Macaca fascicularis: one gene and its partner. The main gene of each other region encodes a partner of the protein of the gene in region 2 in a complex. Links are inferred from orthologs where the notes say so. Each region holds a gene or a part of one and is shown on either strand. Other genes may lie near its edges.

What was found.
Region 1: the proteins of XIRP2 (region 2) and NEBL are in contact, whole or in part, in a crystal structure (PDB 4F14), measured with the Homo sapiens proteins. The link is inferred for Macaca fascicularis from reciprocal best matches to the Homo sapiens genes XIRP2 and NEBL. Residues at the interface, in NP_689594.4 of Homo sapiens: Pro2420, Pro2421, Pro2422, Thr2423, Leu2424, Pro2425, Lys2426, Pro2427; in NP_006384.1 of Homo sapiens: Tyr963, Asp964, Tyr965, Asp969, Asp971, Glu972, Ile987, Asp988, Asp989, Gly990, Trp991, Met1004, Pro1006, Asn1008, Tyr1009.

Annotation. Positions count from the first base shown.
Region 1 is NC_088383.1:21,723,429-21,729,508, forward strand, and holds the start of NEBL (nebulette), read right to left. Parts: upstream 4,148-6,080; 5' UTR 4,044-4,147; coding exon 3,963-4,043; intron 3,865-3,962; coding exon 3,793-3,864; intron 3,088-3,792; exon of another isoform or gene 2,884-3,087; intron 1-2,883. UniProt on the Homo sapiens protein: Binds to actin and plays an important role in the assembly of the Z-disk. May functionally link sarcomeric actin to the desmin intermediate filaments in the heart muscle sarcomeres.
Region 2 is NC_088386.1:62,196,433-62,202,430, forward strand, and holds the start of XIRP2 (xin actin-binding repeat-containing protein 2), read left to right. Parts: upstream 1-2,519; 5' UTR 2,520-2,590; intron 2,591-5,536; 5' UTR 5,537-5,604; coding exon 5,605-5,625; intron 5,626-5,998.

The DNA.
Region 1 (6,080 bases), on a different chromosome or scaffold from region 2:
TCTGGAAAGCCTTTTCACAAGTGAAATCATACAAGTTAAAGTCAATAAACCATGGTAGAAAGAATTATGGCTCCATTATTATTTAACTGGGCTGGTCATAGCTAAGGTCACTCTCCCAGGTTTTCTGATACCATCTAAGCTTTCTCTGGAGGAGTAACCACAGAATTTAATGTTTTTGGCATTGAAAGGATTTACCCACAACAACGTTCATTTGCCTGGAAAATATTCTTCCTGCTGCCATGCAGATGAACACCCTAAAGAGCCTTGAACTAAACACGGAGTGAGAGGCTGCATGCAGATGTGGTTCACCTGCTCTGCGGAAGGCTCTTTCTGCCTAATTTACAAGAAACATACAAAAGATTCCCTTTTGCCCAATCTTTTTTATGACTCCCCATCAGAAGGCTACTAGATCCATGATTCTGAGTGCTCAAGAGAGTGGATAGGTTTAACTTAGTCAAGGAATTGATTAGATATTGTTAGATTAGACTAACAGGACTAAATATGAGAGAAAGTATATCTGCGAGAATATATCTGAGAAAATAATAGCATTATGTGATTAACAGAAAAATAAAAGAGGCTGCCTCAGAAGACCAGCTGTTCTTCAAAACTGGGAAGTGAGTTGTGCAGAGGGAAACCCCATAATGTTGGTAGAGCAGGTGCAAAGCAGAAACTAGGATGGGGGAGAAACAGAAAGAAAGAAAAATGCCTTATGCTGATTCCTGAAGTGAAGCCACTTGACCTGAAAAACTGACATTTCTCTCTATGGAGAATTCGAAGCAGTGCAGGCCTCCTAGGGCTGATCTCTAGGCCAAGCTTGCTTAACATTTCTACAAATTGTCTGACAAGGGGATGATACAGTAGTGTCTACAGGTCAACTGACTCCAAGCTGTCTCGGTAAGGGAAACGGCAAACTGAGATGAACTTCAGAAGTTCTCAAAGGGCCAGGCAAGAGGGCAGAAAACTACAGATTAGATCTAGCCCTCGTATGGTTAAAATAATTCAAACTATTATTTAAAGATGATGGGTCCTAAGCTAGGGGCTACAGGTCAGAAATTAGGAATTAAATGGCTCTGATGGTCTACAGATCATCAAGCTAATCTAACAGCTTTCTGCAGCTCCCAAGTCTAAGAAACTCTTCATAGCATCAAAAAGGGTGCTAGAAGCTAAGCAAAACATTATCCTACTCTACACATGATCTAGACTGTCCACATCTGTACCGCTCTGCACAGTTCTGATTATTACATCTTGGTTATTAAGGACATAGGAAAGCTGGAAAAAGTTCAAAGAGTAATAATTAGGCCACACCATGAAGAGAAGTCCATGAAACTATCCCTCTCATCTATAAAAACGAAGCAGGGCCAGCCTGCTGGTTCACACCTGTAATCCCAGTGCTCTGGGAGAGCGAGGCAGGAGAATCACTTGAAGCCAAGAGTTTGAGACCAGCCTGGGCAACATAGTGAGACTCCACCTCTACAAAAAAAAAAAAAAAACGAAAATTAGCCAGGCACGGTAGCACACACTTGTAGTTCTAGTTACTTGGAAGGCTAAGGCTGGAGAATCACTTGAGCCAAGAGATTGAGACTGCAGTGAGCTGTGGTCACACCACGGAACTCCAGCCTAGGCAATAGAGTGAGACCCTGTCATAAAAGGAAGGGAAGGGAAGGGAAGGGCAGGGCAGGGAAGGACAGGGCAGGGCAGGGCAGGGCAGGGGAAAAGAAAAGGAAAAAATCTAAAAATTAAATAAGTATCTCAGCAAGTATAGAATTCTATTTGGAAGCAAAATGTGAATGTGAATACAGATATAAATTAAGCCACAATAATAATGTCCTAAATATTTAAGTAGTACATTCTACCATGCAACAAATATCTCTAATAAACAGAAAGTATGCCTATCTGTTTAATTTTACCTACGTGGGTGTGAAATGTATGGCTTTAAGCTTTTGCAAAATGATAAAGGCACCACCCCCACAACACATTGGTTTTAAAGTCACTGATAAACAATCTTACCCAAAACAACTCCAACAAAATCACCTACTAACTACAGTTACTACTTTAGTCCTGATGGTTTATGTAACACAAGTTAGCTCAGTTATAATTGCACTTCAATAAAAATATATCAAAGCTGGAAGAGGTTAGGAACTTAGAGTTTTAGTAGGTAGCATTACTACTACTAATAGTAGCGTAATAATAATAAGGCAAAGAACGACATTTCATGGAAACCTACAGTGAGAGATAACTTGGCAGTGTAAGAGGGAGGCCTTTGTGTTCAAATATTACTGCCGCTGCTTAACTGTGTGACCCAGGCAAGGTACTGAACCTCTCTGTGCCTCTATCTCTTCACTTCAAAAATGAGAAACAGCATAGTGCCTACCTCACAAGCTGCAATCCCTGCACATAGTAGTCACTAAATCTTAACTGTTGCCAATATTGTTATTGTTGTCGTCATTTATTATTATTGCAATTTACAAAGAACTTTCACATACAGTAGCTAATGACTATTAAGTAATAGCACAAAGAAATACTTAATTTAAAGGGTAATTACATCACATGTCAAGTATATGGGAAAGGGTATGATTTCCACCACCATCCTTTATGCTTGTCTTCTGGTTTGTCAGAAAGAGCCAGTCATATCTAAACTGTGATTGGATGGATGTAAAAGTAAGTAACAGACAGAGTAGTTAATAACAGCTAACATTTGTGGAGTACTCACAATGTTCCAGATAGTTTATTCAGCATTTTAGATGCATTACCATTATTTAATCTTATTATAAATGTTACAGCTGAGGGATGGAGCCCAGCCAGGTTACATAACCTTTCCAAGGTTATTGTGGAGTCAACCCAGGCAGATTGACTTTGGAGGACGTGCCAGCCCATTGTCCTCCTGCCCAGGACTGACTTCCCTTTGAAAACAAACGTGCAAAACATTCTGATCATCTTGCTCATTATCAACAACAGAAACAACCAGTATTGTGCTCATCTCTCTAAATGAAGACACAGGCACATATTCACTCTACAGGAGTCACCCTTCCTCTGGACCAGCAATCCTCTTAGAACTGTTAATGAGGATCATCTAAATTCTCATTCCTGGTGAGCAACATTTTTCCTTGTACTTCTTGAATTCTAGCTTACATATTTAACATAAAACTATACGTTCAATCATTCAATATATTCTGGGATTCCCTTGAAGTGTAATATTGACCAATCCCAGTTACTAAAAAATGTCACAACAAAAATGCCCCTTGCACTAATATCCTTCTCTAATATCAGGGTTCTTAGCAAGCAGCTTGGTAATCCACAAATCCTGAATTGTAAATAGAAGTTATATGCATAGATATATATATATATATATATATGCATTTTCCTGTTCTGAAAGACAAGTCCATTCATTAGATTCTTCAGAATGTCCCAAAATGTTAAAAAATGACTACTCATTTAGATAGAGGGCCTCCCAAGACAAATTACATCATTACATTCATTTTAAAATCTTTGGGAGTTCTCAAATGGAATAAATACTGCAATTCAATGCCTTATGATTTCATGCCAGAGTGACAGCAAACCTCATAAGGGACAGGATTCTGGATTAAGAATGAGGAGACTTGCTCTAGCAGGAATTCTCTGTATAGGTGACCTTGGCGAAATCACTTAGAATTTCAGGACTTTGTTCCATGATCTGGAAAGTGACTGTGTTTTAAAAGGTGATTTCAGGGTTTCCCCCACAGCTCTATGCCTCTATAACATAATAATACCACAGGTGCAATGCAAAATAAGACAGAAAGTACTCCAGCCACTTACATCACTAATGAGTTGCGTGCATTTTCTGGCCAATTCCATGCTTAAGTCTTCAATAACAGGCTTATAGAAGACCTATATGAAAAAAAAAAAAAAGAAAGAAAGAGAACATTTTTCTCATCATCAATTTAGAGGAACAAATGCTGGTCATGAGTATGTGTTTTCTTACTCACCCGGTCTTCTTCATTTTCTTCTTCCCCTATTGTTTCTTCTTCAGTTTCATCTTTTACATCCTCAAATACAGGGACCCTCATTTTTACCCTTTAAAATAGTTATTTTTAAAATTTACTCATGTGGCGTCCTTTTTCGTACCACAGCGCCCTTGAGATGCTGATGTCTCTGGTGCTCTGTTCGAAACGCCCTTGCCCAAGCCTCAGCCCTATTTAGCCCACACTTCACTCCTTATCTCAGTGGTGTGTGAGTGAACAGAACAGGATCCCAGAGGTCTACCAGGCTGGCCTCACAAGTGGACATAACATATTCTTGGGCAAAACTTGATTTTATGAACTTTTAAAGTCAACATTTTTTCCACTGGTTAAGAAATCCAAAAGAGAAAATTTATTTATCTTTTACTAATTCTATTCATTCATAAAAGAGTGTAAAAAGGACTTAGAGATTCCACAAAAACTACTCAGCTCTAACACTCAAGATAGCACAGTCCAAAGCCTGTTATCTCAAAGACTCCTCATCTCTGTCTAAATAAAGCTTTCACTGGAATGTCGGACTTCTTTCTGACTTGGGGTAGAGAATCTGGATCATTCAAGCTCATTTTGTTAACCCAAATTATATGTTTTATCAGACACACCAGTACTTCTCACATCCTAAAAAATACCCACTTTATATTAGCTGATTAGAGGCTAGTTATTTATTATGAAAAGCCCTTTGAACCACTTCAAAGAATCTATTCTGAGTTAATGATGACTGTTAGTCTTATACTGGCGAGTATGGTATTGTATTAATTGTAAACATCATTAAACATGAGAAGTTGCAGTTAACACATGTTGATATATAATTTAACAATTCTAGAAACATCACTGTTTCAAAAATAATCATCATCATCTTTGAATTCTGCAATTCTACTCATCATGTCAATTTTTACAGATTCATTGGTGATGTGCATTATTACTCAATGGGTACCCCACATTCAGAAAAGTTTGGAAAAATAAACCATCACAATATTTATAATGTGGTATGTGTCCTTGGTTATGTAAAACCAAGGTTAAAAATACATTTTTCAAAACAAATATTTTAATGTCAATTCAGGCAATTCCAAGACTCTCTACAACTCACGATTTATTAATCTGGTTATTTAAATCCTAGGGGAAATTAATTTTACCAAGTCATAGCATATTAGCGTCGGGCATAAAAAAATACTCTACAAGGAATAGTAATACTGATGACAGAAAATACAAATTTATTAAAAATAATACATCATTCTAAGTAGCCAAGCATAACTCTTTTTCTCTTGATATCATATCTAGTTTTCAATGTGTTATTAAAAAAATGCCTTGGCCTTACCTAAACTGAAAACCCTAACAAGAAAAACATTCTACACAGTCATCGTGTACAAATTATTTCTGAAATTGTGTTTCATGAGGCAAAAGTTCCACAAAAGATTCTGGGGGAGAAGAGCAGGTTTCTTAAACAAATACGTTTGGGAAATCTGTACCCCAATCTCTGCCCCTGCCACTTAGAGATCTACAAGGCATACTGACACATTAGAAGTTCTGAGAAGACCTTCAACCAAAAAACCTACTTAGGCTTGCTTAACCTCCTTTTCCCCTGAACACAAAACCTATCTATCTCATCAAATCTAATCCAATTTAATCTAATCTACCTACCTACCTATCTTTCTATCTACCTATCACTTTTTTTTAATTATACCCACTACCCCAGAAAACTAACACTCCTCTGTGAAATATGACCTATTACTGAGGGAAATATTGCTCTATTCTGCTAAAATGTTGTGTTCTAGAAGGAGCTATTGGTCTTGAACTAGTTTTTGATAAAGGCTAAATTAATGGTATCACATATCCTGTTCACCAGCAAAGCACCAAAAAGAAATTGTCCCAAGCATGCTAAATTTGGAAACCACAACTCTAAGATTACAGCCATATCATGCTGGCCCAGTACAGTGGATTCCACAAGGACATTGCTTGTACATTTTATTTGTTCCATAAAAGGAAAGAATGTGTGGATTCTAATTATTTCCCTCAAGTCCTCCACTGGCCAGAAGATTATTCTAATATTCTATAGATCTATTACATTATCTTTATTGGGAAATAAAGAGG
Region 2 (5,998 bases):
AAAAAATGTACATGGACCCTATAAATATATTTTTCTGTTGTTGGCTGACAGTGAGAACTATCATTAGAGGGTGTTGAAGAAACATTGTAAGAGGTTAGGAGATGGGCTTCTTGGTTCTGGTAAGCTCTCTGGGTAGGCTCTTGCAGCTTAGCCTCTGCAGCTCACTCTCCTGGGAGATTGGTTTAGTAATCATTCCAGTAAAAAATAAAGAGCCAACAACTCATCTTGGAAAATGATTCATGCACGGCTTCTCTGGCATCTATCTCCTGCAGTGTACAGCACCCAGCAGCCAGCATTTACCTGAGCACTTCCCTTGCGCACTTTTGTAGTAGAGTGCTTGCAGTGAAACATCTCCCCTTGAACAACTTTCTCTGGTGTTCTAGAGGATGGATGTCCAGCAAGTTCTACCTACATAGCATCACAGTGACTATTCTGCCATCCAATCACCATAGCCATGTCCTCTCTAGCATGGCCTGGGCCTCAGCCCTGGAACCTCTTTCTTAGATGTGGGGGCACTTGAAATGTTAACATATGCCTTCTAGTTGAAGTTTGCCTACTTCTGTCCCAAAAACCTATAATGTTTTTTACACACTCTGTCTTTAGGAAAACGAGACAAAGTTTGGAATAATGTATATGAAGCTGATGATGAGGAGCTTGTAATGCAAGTTTCCAGGGGATCTTTGACACGTTAGAATGCTATGAGATGTTTTAAAAGAAGGCATGTAGGTCAAGTCACAGACTGTTAGTTAAAATGAAAAGATTTTAGAAGCAATCATCGGAGGAAGGGAGTTAAGTTCCTAATTTACATCTGTTTTTTTTCCTTAGCTTTTACAGAGGATGCCTAAAATAAAACGAAATTTTAGAATTTGATTTCTTGTGAAAGTTTGTAATAAATGGTATATTCTTTGTATTTTAACTAATAAGGCTATGATGATACTTGATTAGTTGTTCAGTCTGATTAGATTCAACTGCCTTTAGTAAAATCCATTAAAAGCGCTTATCTCCAGCACAATGGGGCAGTAGTGTTGCTGGAGTTCAGCTAGTGTTGAGGGTAGGACTGGAAGTAGGAGTAAAGTACAGGTGAGTGTCCTTACCTACCTCTCTCTGTAACAGGTGAGATTCCTATTAAACTGAAATTGCAGAGATTCAGGGATAATTTGCCTGTCCAACAGAGAAACCTGGTGAGATTCACTCAGGATGGTGGCAGAAACACTAAAGGAAAATATTACGGAAACTTATAGGGAATAGTCACAAACTTTTTGAAAGGCCAAAAGGTTACAGAGCTTGTAATAATTGAACAGACTGAAGGCAGCCAGTTCTTCCCTTAGAGCATTAGGTCATAGGGTAAATACTAGGGACAATAGCGGCTTCCGCAGTTCTGTTTACCCTACCTCCATTAACTGACCTTTCAGCAGTATAGCCCTCCCAGAGTTGAGGGGAGGCCGACCCGGATATTGCCCCCAGTGGTATTTACTTTAAACCGCGGTACCTGAGCTTTAATCATTCGTAAAACTACTCTCTTAACCATGTTAATTACCCTCAAGTGTTTTGACTCAGAGCTTCTGTTGTTAATTGTATGCTAAATAAATGCCTGCAGTGCGAGCTGCTCAGGGCCGGCTATAGTGACAAACTTCTCTTGGTGGACAGGTGGATGGGCACTCGGCAGGACTGACAAAGCGGAATATCTGTATCAGTGTACGTTTTATTTATCCGTCGTTTAGGTCAGGGTCTGAGGGCAGAACCCTGCAGCTAATGCCCTCTCGTGAGGAGCAATACCTCAACTGGTGCCCTCTGTGAGGCCAGTCAGGGGTCTGCAGAAACAGACTCGCCGCAGTTGGAGCCCCTCTTGAGGCAGGCTGCAAAGGAAGTGTGAGGACCACCCTGGTGAGGAAAGCTGCGAAGGAAGCGTGCAGGAAACGCGACGGACCCCCGGAAAACGAAGATGAGGAAAGGAACGCGGTGAAGTCAGTGAGTAATCAGTAAAGTCATTAGTGCCCACTCGAGGTTACCAAGTTCTGGGGGAAGTTAGGTCAAGCTGAGTTTTCATCATAGGACAACAGTTAGCACAGCAGAAACAGTACATAACAGTATTAAAACAGTTGTCTAAGGCTAGAGGAGCCTCAGTTTTGCAGGCTCAATTAAAGGACCTAATCATCCATGCTAAACAAACTGCCGTAATGCAAACTGTTAAATCCCAAAGCCCATGGTATCCAGAAGGAATGCTAGATGTAGAACTTTGGGATCAAGTGGGGAGAAATTGTAGCATTAGGCGCCAAGGCGACAGGTCCCAGGAACAGCTTTAACGTTATGGGCTTTAACTAGAGCGGCTGTGGCTCAGTTACACACAGAAGAGCCTAAAAAGAGGAAGTAGGAGAAAACTGTCGCCTGTCTTATCACCTCCTCTTCTCTGGGCCCTTATATCACAGGGCCAACATAACAAAGAGGAAACGGAGGTTTTACCTGAGCCGCGGCCTCCAATAGATAAGAAAAAAGAGGATACGCTACAGCAATCACTTCCTGTTTTCAGCAGGCAGCACTAGAAGGAGAGCTCTTAACCTGCCCAGTAATGCAAGATCAGCAAAGAAATCAGGTACATAAAGATATGATAAAAAGCATTAGAGGCTGGAGCCCTGCGGCCAAGCAGGCAGTAGACAGAAGGAAAGGCTCAGCAGCAAGGAAGCTCGCAAACACTGAGCTGGCAAATGGTCCGGGGAACTCGCCTGCACGGCGGCAGTAGCAGTGAGGAGCCAGGCCCAGCGCGTTGAAGTTAGCCTACTGCAGAGGGCCGGGAGGCGCGCAGCGCCGGAGTCCGCCCAGCCGGCAACAGCTGCCCTGAGGTAGCGGGAGGGGGCGGCACAAGCGAAAGAAGTCGCACAAGTGTAACAGCCCCCGCCCCGGGACCCATCTGCTCAGCTTTCTAGCTCTGCAAGTGGCCCACAGCAAAATCTCGTGTGCTCCTTGTTTACTAACGACCTCCTTGATTATAATTCTCTAAGATTTAAGTAAAACGTAAGAAGTTGTAAAACCTCTTTTCTAATAATGGCTTCTGTTATCTCTCTCCTACCCCTGACTTAGCTCTCCAAATCCAATTTAAGTAAAACAGTAACCTCTGAAGGGAGAGATTACAGAGGGCCCATGAATTAGTTAAAAAGCAATTAAAAGCTAGCATGCAAAACCACACATTGCCCTTTAAAGGAGAACTTTAAACCTAATTGAATGATGTATGTTAAATTAGAAGGTAAAAATGTGCCCTTCTCAGAAAGTGAAGAAAAGTTGTATGTAAGTGTAGTGAAAACATATGCATGAATGACTGTCTTAACCCACTGATTACAGATAGTCTTTGATTTGTACTTGCTAAAAGAGTGCTGAATTGAGTTCCCCAGCTAGTGAGTCACTGTTTTCAAGACTGTTTGCTACATTGGAGTCCCTAAATATAGTCAGCCTGAAAACTCGATTGCGAGATTTAAGCTATTCTGCCTGTGGCTTTAAGCACATGGTTAAAGTATATTTGAGTCTCTGCTTCTAGAAATGCTTTCAAATTTTCTTTTCAAAATTCATGTTACTTATTTCAGCTTGCCATCTTAATGCAGTCAATTGATAAGTTATGACCCTGATACCATCAGGATTCATTTAAGAGGCAATTCAAAGTGGCATTGCAATCCCCCATACCTAATGCTTTAACACTGTTTACTGATGGGTCTGGTAGAGACCATATAATCCAGTCACTCAATCTAAATTTACTAGCACTCAGCTGAGGTTACTGTTTATTAAAGAACTTTTACAGCCTCAGTTAAGTTCACTCTGGAGCCCACTCTGTGTGCTCTTTTTTCCCAGCTTCAGTAATTGCTAGACCAATGTACACATCCTATTTTTATTACACACATTTGAGCCCACAGCTCACTGCCTGGCACATTGGCTTATAGCAATGATCAAGCAGAACTTCAAGTTATGGTATCACTACTTGACCAACTCACCCAATCACATCTGTTTTTCCACCAAAATTGGAAAAATGTGTCTAAACAATTTCAATTTACCCAGAGGCTAGCTAAATAAATTATCTACAATGCCCAGATTGCCAACTCACAGGCACATCCCCTCCTTCAGCAAGTATACCCTGGAGGATTGGAACCCAATCAGTTATGGCAAACAGATATTGCACCCCTGAATTTGGAAAACTAAGATATGTGCATTGATACCAACACTCATTTAATTAATGCACATGCTTTGCCTGGAAAGTCTACTCAATATGTCATTAAACATCTTTTAAGTTTTGCATTTATAGGACAGACCACAAAAATAAAGACTGACAATAGTCCAGCTTGTACCAGCTCACAATTTCAACAATTTTGTCACACGTGGAATATCAAACATTCCACAGGCATCCCATATAACCCCAAGGACAGGCAATAGCAGAAGGAGCACAGTTCACCCTTAAAAATATGCTCAAAAAAACAGGAAAAAGGAATATAGGTAAAGACCCTGCAACACTATTGGCACAAGCCTTATTTACCCTTGTTTTTTTAAATTTAGATGACAAATTTTAATCAGCTCTAGAAAAGCACTTTACTAAAACCTCTCAAGGCATAAAACCTGCAGTTGTATGGAAAGATGTGAACAATATATGGCATGGTCCAAGTGAATTATTAACGTGAGGAAGAAAGTATGCTTGTGTCCATACCTAGAAAGAAATAAAGGGAAAGAATGAGTAAGAGACTAGAAAACAGATCAGAAAGAGACGCAAAAAGAAAAACTAAGGAAAAACTAGGAATAAGGGAAAGGAAATATTAAGCAAGTTATAAATATAGGAATGTACCTTTAGTAATGAAGCTTATAAAACACAGCCAGAAAGTTAAGGCATGTTGAAGACTGTGAAAGTCATGAAGAAATTTATGCAGGAAATGTATACTTTTTGGTTTTAAAATGTTAATTATGAAAATTTTATGTGTAAACATACTGGCAAAAGTTAAAAAGGTATCATCCAGTTTTTCTGTAAACATTAAAATAAAGCACAAGTTTTTCTTAAAGCACTAACCTGCTCTTTAAAGATTGTAAAAATCTCTTAGCACACGCACCAGCCCTAGAATTTCTAGCACCAGCCTGGAGACCATGTTCTCATCAAAGGAAGGAAAGAAGGAAAAACTCAAGCCAGCCTAAGAAAAACCCTACAGGACCCACAGCCTCAACAATGAGGCTTCCACAAACAACACAGACCCCAGACATGCCGACGCCAAAGGCTAAGCCAAATAAATTATTCGTTTTTAATTCTCTCATTTTGTCTACTACCTATACCTGCTACACTCTATTAAGCTCATCTCTTAAATCTGTCTTTTTCAGCCCTGTTACTTAAGCAAACACACTTTCCAGCTTCCAGTAAGTTAACTGCTTGGCTGGAAGAAGTTAACATACCCCCAGTAGTGTTCTTAGTAACAGCACTCATCAAACTGAAGTGTCAAGTAACACTACAGCTCACTTTTTACCTAGAAAACAATGCTGCTAATTGTACTCATAATTGTCTTATGTTATTTGCTAATTCTAGGATGGAAAGCCGCAATAAGAGCATTTGTGTCTGGAATTGGCAGGTTCTTGGTCTCACTGACTTCAAGAATGACCCCGCGGACCCTCGGGGTGAGTGTTACAGTTCTTACAGATGGTGTTTCTGGAGTTTGTTCCTTCTGACATTCGGACGTGTTCGGAGTTTCTTCCTTCTGGTGGGTTCATGGTCTCGCTGGCTTCAGGAGTGAAGCTGCAGATTTTCCGGGTGAGTGTTACAGCTCATAAAGGCAGCATAGACCCAAAGAACAGCAGCAAGATTTATCGTAAAGAAAAAGAACAGAGCTTCCACAGTATGGAAGGGGATTCAAGCAGGTTGCCCCTGGCTGGCTCAGGCAGCCTGCTTTTACTCCCCTATCTGGCCCCACCCACATCCTGCTGATTGGTCCATTTTGACAGAGTGTTGATTGGTGCATTTACAATCCCTGAACTAGACACAGAGTGCTGA